Linked DNA regions of Caenorhabditis elegans. The protein of the gene in region 1 interacts with the protein of each later gene in a biochemical or structural test. Each region holds a gene or a part of one and is shown in the gene's direction. Other genes may lie near its edges.

The links. The genes of interacting proteins can lie anywhere in the genome.
Region 2: the proteins of mihp-2 (region 1) and sprr-1 interact in a test that uses a peptide from one of them, tested with the Caenorhabditis elegans proteins (one large-scale study listed by BioGRID).

What each region holds. Positions count from the first base shown.
Region 1 is NC_003283.11:18,902,138-18,906,770, forward strand, and holds mihp-2 (Neuropeptide CCHamide-1), read left to right. Parts: upstream 1-1,634; 5' UTR 1,635-1,639; coding exon 1,640-1,721; intron 1,722-3,038; coding exon 3,039-3,148; intron 3,149-3,869; coding exon 3,870-3,956; 3' UTR 3,957-4,115; downstream 4,116-4,633.
Region 2 is NC_003284.9:15,464,435-15,471,317, forward strand, and holds sprr-1 (G-protein coupled receptors family 1 profile domain-containing protein), read left to right. Parts: upstream 1-1,865; 5' UTR 1,866-1,912; coding exon 1,913-1,978; intron 1,979-2,277; coding exon 2,278-2,488; intron 2,489-3,169; coding exon 3,170-3,363; intron 3,364-3,421; coding exon 3,422-3,521; intron 3,522-3,565; coding exon 3,566-3,909; intron 3,910-3,957; coding exon 3,958-4,103; intron 4,104-4,580; coding exon 4,581-4,766; intron 4,767-4,814; coding exon 4,815-4,890; intron 4,891-5,438; coding exon 5,439-5,559; intron 5,560-5,982; coding exon 5,983-6,122; 3' UTR 6,123-6,360; downstream 6,361-6,883. Other genes in the region: exc-1 (IRG-type G domain-containing protein), read right to left, coding at 6,361-6,509, 6,620-6,827.

The sequences.
Region 1 (4,633 bases):
GTGTAATTTTGAGCCTAGAAAGTGTAAATTTAGAGCTTAGCCATGATTTTCAAAATTTCAAATTTGGGGTGTTTTTGGCTCAGGTGGGAAGAGGGACAAATTATAAAAAACGGTCGCGGGTTCAAACCCCCGCTCAGGCCGATAGTTTTTATTTTGTTTGAACAATATTTTAAATCAATTTTCAAGTTATAAAAGTAAGTTTCAGTTTGGAAATTTTCAAATTTGGAATTTTCATCCGAAAAACTCGGATTTTTTTTTAGGTTTCTACTTAATTCAGGCGACATTTCCTTTTTTGAAATGTGAGCAGAACCCCTTAAAATGTGCATTACTCCACTAAAAAACCGGTTTTGTTTTTCAGATTTCTCTTGCCGCGCCGTTTTCATGCAAATTGGCAGAAATAATTGGATCACTCGTTGGTTGGGGGAGCACGGAAGAAGGCTTAAAGCACAGATTTTAAATTCCGAAATTTTTGAAGGATACGTCATCTAATTATCCAGCTCACACTCACACACCCACTTGAAAATTTATATATATATATAAATAAAAAGATTTTGCTCGAAAATTTGAAATTTCCGTTTTATTACGAATTCTTTTCATTGCGCCTTTTCCGGTTTTTAATTAGGTGTATTATTATACTAGGATTACTGTAAAAAAGGGTGGGGTTGAGATTTGGAGCAGGAAAAAATTTGAAAAAAAAAATTCCATAAACATTTTTTTTTTTGAAATTTGTTTTCATTTTTTGCATTTATATTAGAAGTGGCAAATCTAATTCTTTTTTTAGATTTTCTTTTTTTAGAAAAAAATTTTAAAGCATACACCCTTATATTTCACTGTTTTACAAATTTAAAAATTAAAAAAAAAACTTCTGGAAAAATTTCAAAAAAAATTTTTTTTTTCGAAATAAAAAAAAAAATTTTGAAATTTTTTCGGCATATATAGACGTGAAAAATCTATTTTGTTTTTTTTTTTTGAATTGTCTAGATTCCCGGCCAATTTACCAATTTATGGCCTAACGTTTGGTTTTCTAGGCCACCAACTTCAAATCGCTTTGTTGGGAAATGAGATACTTGTGAAACTCAAAATGAACTGAATTTCTCATAAAAAATACTATAAAACCGTATTTACATCTACACACTGTTTTGGAAAAAAAATGAAAAAAAAATTTTTTTTTTGAATATATTTTTCAAAAAAAAAAAATTTTTTTTGAAAAATTTTTCTTACACTTTTTCCTTTAAAATTCCTTTTTTTATCCGGAATATATACATTTTTAATATTTTTTTGAATTCACTAATTAATAAAACCCCGATTGGCCACTCTGTGTCATCTGAAAAGGGGGCGGAGCTCCGAGGCTGTTGTGGGCGGAGCTTAAATCATATTTCATATTTTATTAGACTCACTGTTTTTGAAAGATTTTAAAAATTATTTGTCAAAAAATTTTACCGAAAAAATTTCCAAAAAATTCCCATCTCCCGTTAGTCTTTATCAAAATTTTTGGAATTTTCGCCAAAAAATGCTCCAAATTTTTTAATAAATACTAACAGGATTTTAAGGAGAATAAATTTTTTTTTTCGAGACTTTTAACCCCGTCGGAAACCTTTTTTTTTGTAAAAATCTGAAAAATTGCAAATTTTCAGGTAAAATGAGAGTGCAAGTAGTCACACTTCTCGCGGTTTTGCTCGCCGTCTTGCAGTTCACCTCAGCAGCCGGTAACTATTATTCAGGTATGTTGAAGAGCGGAAAATTGGCTTCAATTTAAGTCAAAAATTGGCGGGAAATGTTGATTTTGAAAAAAATTACAAGAGTTTGAAAATTTTGAGGCAAAATTTTTTTTGGGCTGGACAAATTTTTTTATTTTTTTTTGAAATTTTTTTTTAAAAACTAAAAAAAATTTTGTTATTGCTTCATTTTAGTGTATATACCTCGTTTAAATGCAAAATAACCTTAAGTATTAATTTTTCAGAAAAAATTAAAAAAAAAAAGTTTTGAAAATTTTGACAAATTTTTAAAATATATGTTCAGATTTATGAAAATTTATAGAAAATGTGGTAAAAATTAAAAAAAAATACAAAAATAGAAATATTTCAGTTCCAGATTTCAAAAAAACATTTTTTTTTAATATTGAAAGTACAAAAATACGACAGTTTGAAAAATCAAATTTTTTTTTCAAAAATTAAATTTTCAAAACTACCGTTACCTAGCAGCTTTCGTTTTGAGACCCATAAAACTAAATTTTTCAAATTTAGCAAGTCATGGGCTTTCAAATAAGTATAATCATGACTGGATTTCAGATTTTAGTTTTTTCCAGTTTTTGGGTCTCGCAGGGAATATTTCGCGGCGTTACCCATTTTTCAGAAATTTCTGGAAATTTAGTCAAATATGTACATTTTTAGAAAGTCTGTAATACGTTGATGTTAAAATTTGGAAAAATTCCTGAAAAAATAAAGTGACGGTAGTTTTTGGACATTTTCGTGGTGAGACCCAAAATTGCAGAATTTTCCAAAATTTTTAACTTAGTCATGATTATACTTATTCGAAAGCCCTTTTCATGCTGAATTTGAAAATTTTATTCTCATGGGTCTCAACACGAAATTGGCCGGATTATGGTAGTTTTAATATGTGAGATTTTAGGAAAAAATCGAATTTTTAAGTTTTCAATATTGTTAATTCAAAATTTTTTAAAAATTTTTAAGTCAGTTTCCTTTTTACTTTTTAATAATTTATTAACTGAAAAACATGTTTTTAGATTATTTTTTTTGTCTGAAAACAAGAATTATGTCAGAAAAAATAATTTAAAATAATTACAGTCCCTGAAAGCCTGAAATTATCTAAAAATTTTGAAAAAATTTAGTGAAAATTTAAAAAGCTTATTACGGAAGTAGTTTTTACCCCAAAAAAATTCAAAAAAAATTTCAAAAAAGAAATTTCAAAAAAAAAATTCAAAAAATTTTTTTTTTTTTTGGAAATTTCCGAAAAACAATTTCAAAGCTTATTTTTTTATTCATTATGTCTGAAAAAATTATCTAAATTTCCAATTGCAGGATACCCATCTGACCGAACAATGAAACGAAGTGCTCTACTGCAACCGGAGAACAATCCAGAATGGAATCAGTTGGGATGGGCTTGGGGAAAGAGAAGCGCTGGAATGGAGGTAAAAAGCACATTAAGAAGTCGTGAAATTGTGAAATTGTAAAAATATAAAAAATTCGATGCATTTTAGTTTTTGAATTATCGAAAAATCTGGAAAATTGACTGAAATGCGGGAGTTTTAAAAATTGGATTTTTCCGCAAATTTGAAATTTCAAAATCCAGCCAATTTCGTGTTGAGATCCACGAAACTGAAATATTCAAACTCAGCATAAAAGCAGCTTTCAAATAAGTATAATCATGACTAAGTTAAAAATTTTGGAAAATTCTGCAATTTTGGGTCCCACCACGAAAATGTCAAAAAATACCGTAACTTTGTTTTTTTTTCAGGAATTTCTCTAAATTTCAACATAAACGTGTTACAAAGTTTCTAGAACAAAAAGTAAAGTTATGACTAAAATTCCAGAAAACTAAAAAATGGGTCCCGCCGCGAAATATTCCTTGCGGGAGCCAAAAACTGGAAGAAACTAAAATCTGAAATCCAGTCATAACATTTTAAAGCCCATGACTTGCTGAATAAGACAATTTAAGTTTTATGGGTCTTAGAGCGAAATCTGCAATGTTACGGTAGTTTTGAAATTTTAATTTTTGGAAAAAATTGCGATTTTAGAAACTGCTGTAACTTTTTCAGTTTTCATTATTTTTTAATGATTTAAAAACTAAAATGTTTCAAAGTGTCTCTGATATTCAATTTGTATCGGAAAACAATTTTAAAAAAATTCCAGATCCCTCACCGCGCGGCTCGAGCTCTTCACCCAGTGAAAAAGAACCCCGATTGGCAGGATTTGGGCTTTGCATGGGGCCGCAAATAAATATTTTTTCTTTAAATTTTTATTTAAAAACAATTATGTGCACTGTCGACTGTTGTGTGTGTGCTTTTTAATTTTTTTTTTACCAAAACACCAAAATTCTCGTTTTTCTCTCTTCTCCGCCCCCCTATTTTCCCTGATTTGATAAAATGGACAATGTTATATATTTTTTCCAACATACTAATTTCAACATGCAAAAATCATTTAACACTAGTGGGAGTCGAACCCCCGACCCTTTCGTCTCAACCAACCCTCTAACCACCTGAGCCACAACTCCCGAAATTTGAAAACTTGAAATTGACGGCTATGCTTCAAATTTGCCATTTCGAGGATCAAAATTTTATAAGAAATCCAAAAATTTACTTAATTTTGCTCTAGGGTCACTTTGAGCCAAGTTATGGGCTTGCGGAGCTTTCCGGGGCCCAAAATCCAAGATTTCAAAATTATCAATATGAGTGTCAAATCAGTTGCAAATTTTGTGCTGAACAAGATAAACACAATATTTTTTCGATATCTCTACTAGTTTTCGAGATATTCCAAAAAATCTTTCACAAAGTTTCAGATTTTCTTAAAAATTGTAAAAAATCAGATTTAAAACATTTGGATGCTAAAAATGTTTACTACAAAGTAAATCGATGATGCAAAAAATTTTGGCATTCACCGGGTATTGAACCCCTGAC
Region 2 (6,883 bases), on another chromosome or scaffold:
TCCCAAGATTTGACAATTTTTCCTCAGGATCATAGTTTCTGTACAAAAAATTAGCGCTAAATGCCAGGCCTATTTGTAGGATGGTTCTTGTGGCACTTTACTGTGATTCGATTATTTATTCTATTTTTTTATCAGATTGCTCAAACATGGCATACCTCTTACAGTTTTTTGTACGAATCTGTCACAATTGAAAGACAGGCTGTTGGTTTATTCTTTGGGCTTTCAAAAGTAGCATCCCAATTCTACTTTTGAAAGCCCAAGAATTTTGTATGTAACTGTAAATTCGATCTTCTTAGAATCTTCAAAATGTTTTGTTCCCGAGCACACAGTTGACTCTTTCACCAAACGTTCAAAACCAAACGCCAACTGAGCAGTTTCCTATTTTCCGGTTAAATTCGTCTTTCCTCCAACCCCAAACTCTTGGAAAAGTTCATCGGACTGAGACGGACTACCGGAAAACGAGAGCATGTGAGTATAGGGGGAGGGTGGGGTCCGGGACAGGAAGGAAAAGCGATGAGACATCCATCCACACATACTCTTTCGTCCCTACTTCTTGCTTCTTTCCCCTCGCCTTAAACTCTCGAAAAACCCACATACTAACGAAATTGTTGACGTACTCTAATTACGCAAATATAAAGGAGTCCCCTGATTGCTAACAAGCTGCGGAGGGACCAATTTTTTTCCATTTTTTTTTCATTTTTTTTTTCACTTCAAAAAAAAAGTGGGATGAGCCAAGTCTTAATTCGATTTCCTACTTGGAAAGGGTATGACGCTGGCCGTCTTAATCTATAAAATTTGTTGTTTGTCTAAGACTGTCAATCTGTCTTCCTTTTTTTCTATTTCTTTTTTCAAAGACTAACCACCGTTAACATCATCTTTCAAGACTCTTCCAATACCTCTTACGACAATAGGCGCCGAGCGGTAGGTGGTGAAAAACGGAATGGAGAGAAAAAAAATGCATCATTCTATTCTATTGTGAGCAATATTCAGAAAGTAGGCGGGAGTTGTTCACTGGTGTTTGTTTTGTCTGCTAGAAAAGCTGAAAACGACAAGAATTTCTGAAAAAAAAAATGCATTGCGCTCCAAAATAATTCTTGATCTTCGACTTCCCCCAAATTGCCACTTCATTTTTACCTACAGTGCAAGAAAGTTGTATTGAAAATTGATGCTTATCAAAATCGGAAGAAGCCGTCTAAAACTATATTTAAAGTTTAATTATCCCTTGTTTCATTGACTTTTTATATCAAAAGTCTAGACAAACTTTATGTTGAAAACAAATTGCAATCAGTTTTTTCTTCAATTCATTACGTTTCCTTTGTTTGAACTTTTTTCGCCAATTGCTTTGTTTTTCTCTAGTTAGAGTACGGTTACATCATTAACAAATAGAATTTTGAGGCAAAAATTTGGAACAAATAGTTTTAAAAAATTTCACTAACTTTGCTTCAACGAAAATTGCAGAAATGTTTTTTTCAAATTTTCAGCTATCTCTTGCAAGATATGAGAAAACTAGTATGTATTCAAAAACCTGTTTCAAATAAAAACTAAGATGTTCTTGAATCCGCATTTGATAAATCTCCGACGTACATAGATTTAATTTCACATATTGCATTTTAAAAAACCTTCAATTGAAAACTATACAGTACTATTTTTTCTACAACTTCACCATGTTTTTTTTAACGTAGAAATTTTAGTGAAATTTTTGATCTTACATTCTCGCCAAAACAAAATGTTGTGCCTTTTTCTCAGTACTGGATTCTAAATCTGTCACTCAGCATTCCTCGCCCCATTTTCAGGTGTCTCGTTGCTATTTTTATCTCAAATGTATTTTCAACTCAAAACATTTATACATCATTTTCACTCTGCAGAATTCAAGTTGGAGCCCGAAAGTTATCAAATTGGCCACAATCAAACAATGGCGATCCATCATCCGATGTGCTACTACAACTTTACGTGCCGACCGGTGTTCATTGGCATCATGGTAGGGTCAAAAAAATTTTTATGTTTTTATTTTTTACTCCTAAGCCTAAAAACAAAGTATTTTAATTTTAGAGCAGAAAAGACTAGAAAAGAAAAGTACATACAATTTCATTTTCCCCTGTGTCCTAAGATTTATCCAGCACAACAAATTCGGTTGGAGAATTGGTAGGGAACAGAGGAACAAAAGAACTAAATTTAAAAAAAAGCCCAATCATTTTTTGTCAGTGACGCAAATAAAAAAACACACACATACATACATGCAAGAAGATTTGGCTCAATTTCAAAAGTTCATCAATTCAGGTTCCGGTTGACTGGGCCGTTCCAATGTATGGGTATATGATGCCTTTCATTGTTACACTCACGGTGGCAACAAATAGTTTTATTGTGGTTGTTCTTTCGCACAAATACCTGCGGACGCCAACAAATTACGTGCTGTTGGCAATGGCGGTGACGGAGCTGCTAACAGGGCTGTCATGTTTGCCATGGTTCACGTACTATTATACTTTATCAGGTAAGTTCTTTAAGCTGTTTGATTTAAAAATTGTTTTGTCCTAAAATCACAAAAAAACCCGCTCACCGATTCAGGGTCTGAGCTCTCTGAGAAAGTTCATAGGAAAACCGGAAACGGAAGGACCTTTCCACTGGACTTCATATTTTTTATACACCTTGAAATTCAAAAAACAAATAAATTGTATAAATTCAAAGTATAAATTCAAAGTATTTGAGAACTGTCTATGGAATTGCAACAATTTAAATTTAAAAAAAATTATTAGGGTATTTTTCACTATTTTTTAAACGCGTCAGAAACAGTTCAGAAGGTTATAATTACCCAGTTTTTAATTTTTAGCAAAGTAGGTGAAAACTTCAAAATACGTTTAAAAAGCTTTCGAAATGTTCGCATATGTTTAAACTAGGGCTCCCATGTGGGCTCCGCAAACGCCGCTTTCACGCCGTCCGAAATTTTTATAGCGATTCGCGGAACCCAAAAAGTGTCGGACGCACAGCTAAGTTTGTACCAAATAGTGATATAAAGTATGACACTAATTGGTGCAAACTTGGCTCCGCGTCCGACAATTTTTGGGTTCCGCACGTCGCTAATAAGATTTCGGATCGCGGCGAAAATTTTACTGCTCTCAGAATTAATGAGATATTTCATTTACACATCAATTACACATCGGCCAACATTTTTCAGGATACAAAAACGATTTACAAACCGGGTTGCCCAGCTTCTGGTGTGACATGATACCCTACATGGCGGCATTTTTACCGTCAATATTTCATACAATGGCAATCTGGCTGACAGTATATCTAGCCATTCAACGATACATTTATATATGCGTTCCGTCGCTAGTTCGCAAGTTTTGCACCATTCATAGAAGTAAACAAGTAAGTTTTTTTTTTGAATTTTATAAAAATTTCTAAAAAAAAATTATTTTAATTTCAGGTTATATTTTTCATAATATCAGTTGCTACAATTATGTACACACCTGACCTCATGGCATTCCATAATAAAAGCCACGATGTGTTTGACAGCAAGAGAAATCGTAAGTTTTAATTTTGAACTACAGCTCCACGTGGTGGGTTCCAGGAACTATGAAGCTTTGCTATCGACATCGTGCTCCATTCATGTTGAAACTCGGTGATGACATTTACTACAAAGTGATGTTCACAACACAAACCGTCGCCGTTCATCTCATCCCGTCTGTGCTGCTTGTCATTTTCACATGGAAACTGGTGGGCGCCATTAGGGTGGCAGACCGCCGTCACGCCAATCTTCTCTCCAAGTATTCCACGACGACTCGTTCGACGCGACGAAAGTTCTCCGAGCTGACGAATTCGTCGGAGAACGAAAATAAAATAACTCGATTGTTCAAGCAGCGCGACAGCGTCAGTGTGGGTAACGAACCTCGTCGAGCTCATGGATTGAAGCAGGTACTTGACGAATGCATCGGATGCTGAAGAGTACTGTAATGATTTCAGAATACGCGGATGCTGGTGGTGGTGATCCTGCTATTCCTGATCACTGAAATACCAGCTGCATTAATTTTTACAATTCATGTGTTGTCAGTGTCTCTGAAGTTCAGCTTTGTAGACTATCAGTTCCTGAATATTCTACTCATAGTCAGGTAATTCTGCCTTATTAGCGATTAAAAAAGGAAAAATCGATCTGATACCAAATATGAAAAAGGTGATTCCTAATATAAAAATGCCTTAAATGTCATCTACGAGAAGAAGGAGCATGCTTCATGATTACAATAATACATTTTTTGTTTGTAGTTTGGGGCCCCCAGCTGAGTGAGGCGGCAAATGCGGGCCTCACGCCGGCCGGCTTTACGCCGACGCCCCTGTGTGTGCAATGAACTGCGAAAAGTAGTTATTTGGAGCGGCCGACACGTTCGGGGTTCCGCAGCTTGGCGTGAAATGAGTAGCTTGATGTGTGCGCAACGTAGTGCAAAGAAGTGGTTGTTTGGAAGCGGCCGACACGTTTGGGGTTCCGCGCCACACTATACATTAAGATACATGCGGTTTGAGTGACGCCGTGAGGCCGGCGCAGGCGCCGTTGCGGCCACCTCATGGGAGCCCTAAAATATTTGAAAATTCAGAAACGTCTTGATTGTGGTGTCCTACCCATTCCGCTTTGCGATCTACTGTGGAATGTCCCAACAGTTCCGAGATGTCGTACGACAAATGTTCACTGGAAAAATGCTCACTCATGCGATCCGAGATAAGGATAACTCAACAACAATGCAGCTTGTCCAAGGTGTCACTGATCACAGTGATGATAAACGGTACATTTAAAAAGCAATCCTGATCTTGACCCACCAATTATTTTGCAGTCAATCGGTTGTTTTGTGCTCGGCAAACGGAACATTGGTGTCTAGCGTTCCAGAGGAGCGGGCGAAGAAAGACAAGGTGGGTTGGCCAATAATGTTGAATCCGATTCAGAGACCGGTGACACAGCACATTCGATGTTATAATTCTGGAAAATCTGAATTCGATCATCTGTGATTCTGTGTTAAAACTGTGATAACTCTATCCGCACCCAATCTATTCAACCGATGATTTCAGGCACTCGAAACTTGTGAAATAGGCGATATGTCGTGTTAAGGTATACTAACACCGGAACTAATTGCTGTGTTGTCCGATTCTCAATTATATAGTTCACAAATGCATGTACGGTTACAGTTGAAATTGATTGTTTATCTCACTTCCGTCACGTTTTAGATGATCTTGTTTACCGACTGCAGTGATTTCTACACAACATCCCCCTTCCTTTTTCATCATCTTCTTCTTTGTGCAGTTCCATAGATCCATACACTCGTTTAGTCACTCTCACGCAATTTTGTAGCCAAACTTTAATAGAGGCCGCATTTTTTTTATTTTTCGAGTTATTTTTAGCTGCAAATCAAGTAGTTCACCTGGCAGAAATGTTCCAGTAGACAATTGTTGAATCTTTTCAGGCCGTTCAATGCAATCCTGACGTTTTCGATGAGGAGATTGAGGTTCCATTCGACCCATTCCTTGCAGATCTTGCCATTATTGTCGAAGGACACGATTCACCCAAGCGATTTAAAAACTCAGGTAATGAATATTAGTGAATTCATGCAAAGTGAATTCTATCGAATTATTTGGTAGATCTAGATCAGATTCTATCAAGATCTATCTAGATCTATCTGAATCTATCTATATCTATCTAGAACTATCTAGATCTATCTAGATCTATCTAGATCTATCTAGATCTATCTAGATCTATCTAAATTTATCTAGATCTATCTAGATCTATCTTTATCTATCTAGATCTATCTAGATCTATCTAGATCTATCTTGATCTATCTAAAACTATCTAGATCTATCTAGATCTATCTAAAACTATCTAGATCTATCTAGATCTATTCAGATTTATCTAGATCTATCTAGATCTATCTAGATCTATCTAGATCTAGATTGTAGCAAAATATGCTCGGTTGGTAAATATTCAATTTTTTTACAATTTTCTTTTTTCAGATTCCACATTTGATTGCTCAACACAATGTAGTACCGAAATGGACAATCACATGTTCATCAAGCGGAAAAGTTCACTTTTGCGGGCAGCGCTGCGAAAAAATCAACAATTATCAGCGATGATGGCTCGTGTTTCTTCTTAGTCTCACATCAAATTGGTCTCAATCGGGTTTCATTTAATTTTTCTTCAAACAATTCACATTGAATTTTTTGAATTTTTCTTTTTCTGCTCCATTCCCACCCCACACAAAAATCATTTCATTTTTTATAAATTGTACAAGTGACACTAGATATATGTACTACATATGTATGACAAAAATTGAATTTTCAATTATTATTATTATTATTAATAAAGCTTGTGTTGTCTCCACAGACAATGAATCAATGAACTCCGGCTGTATCTAGATCTAATTGAGCGTATACACCTTCTCCGGGTGGGTCGTCCAGCATATCCGCTATCATTCGTCGAGACTTTAGGAAATCAAACATTGCTCGCTCATGGAGCACAAATTGACTTTCTCTGGGATCTCCTGAAAACTAACATTAAAAAACCAAATTGAACGAATTTTTCACTTAAGGAAACTGCAAACAACAGCATAAAAACCAAATTAAAAAAATTAAAAAATATAATATAACCCACCCATCCGAAGAGCTTTGAACACTGGTGCAGACACAAAGAATACATTGATTCTTCCCCGTAGTTCTGCTGCTTTGTCTGCCATTATATTATCAAACTTTTGCAAAGCCTTGTCGATATATCGCTGCTTCAGCAAGTCACAAACCGGGATTTCGTCACTTCGGCTTCGGGCTGCTAGCTTTTTATCGCATTTTGAAATTAGAAATAATATCTGAAATTAAGACACTTTTTGGTTATTACAGTGCCGCTGACCGAGTTTTGCCTTCC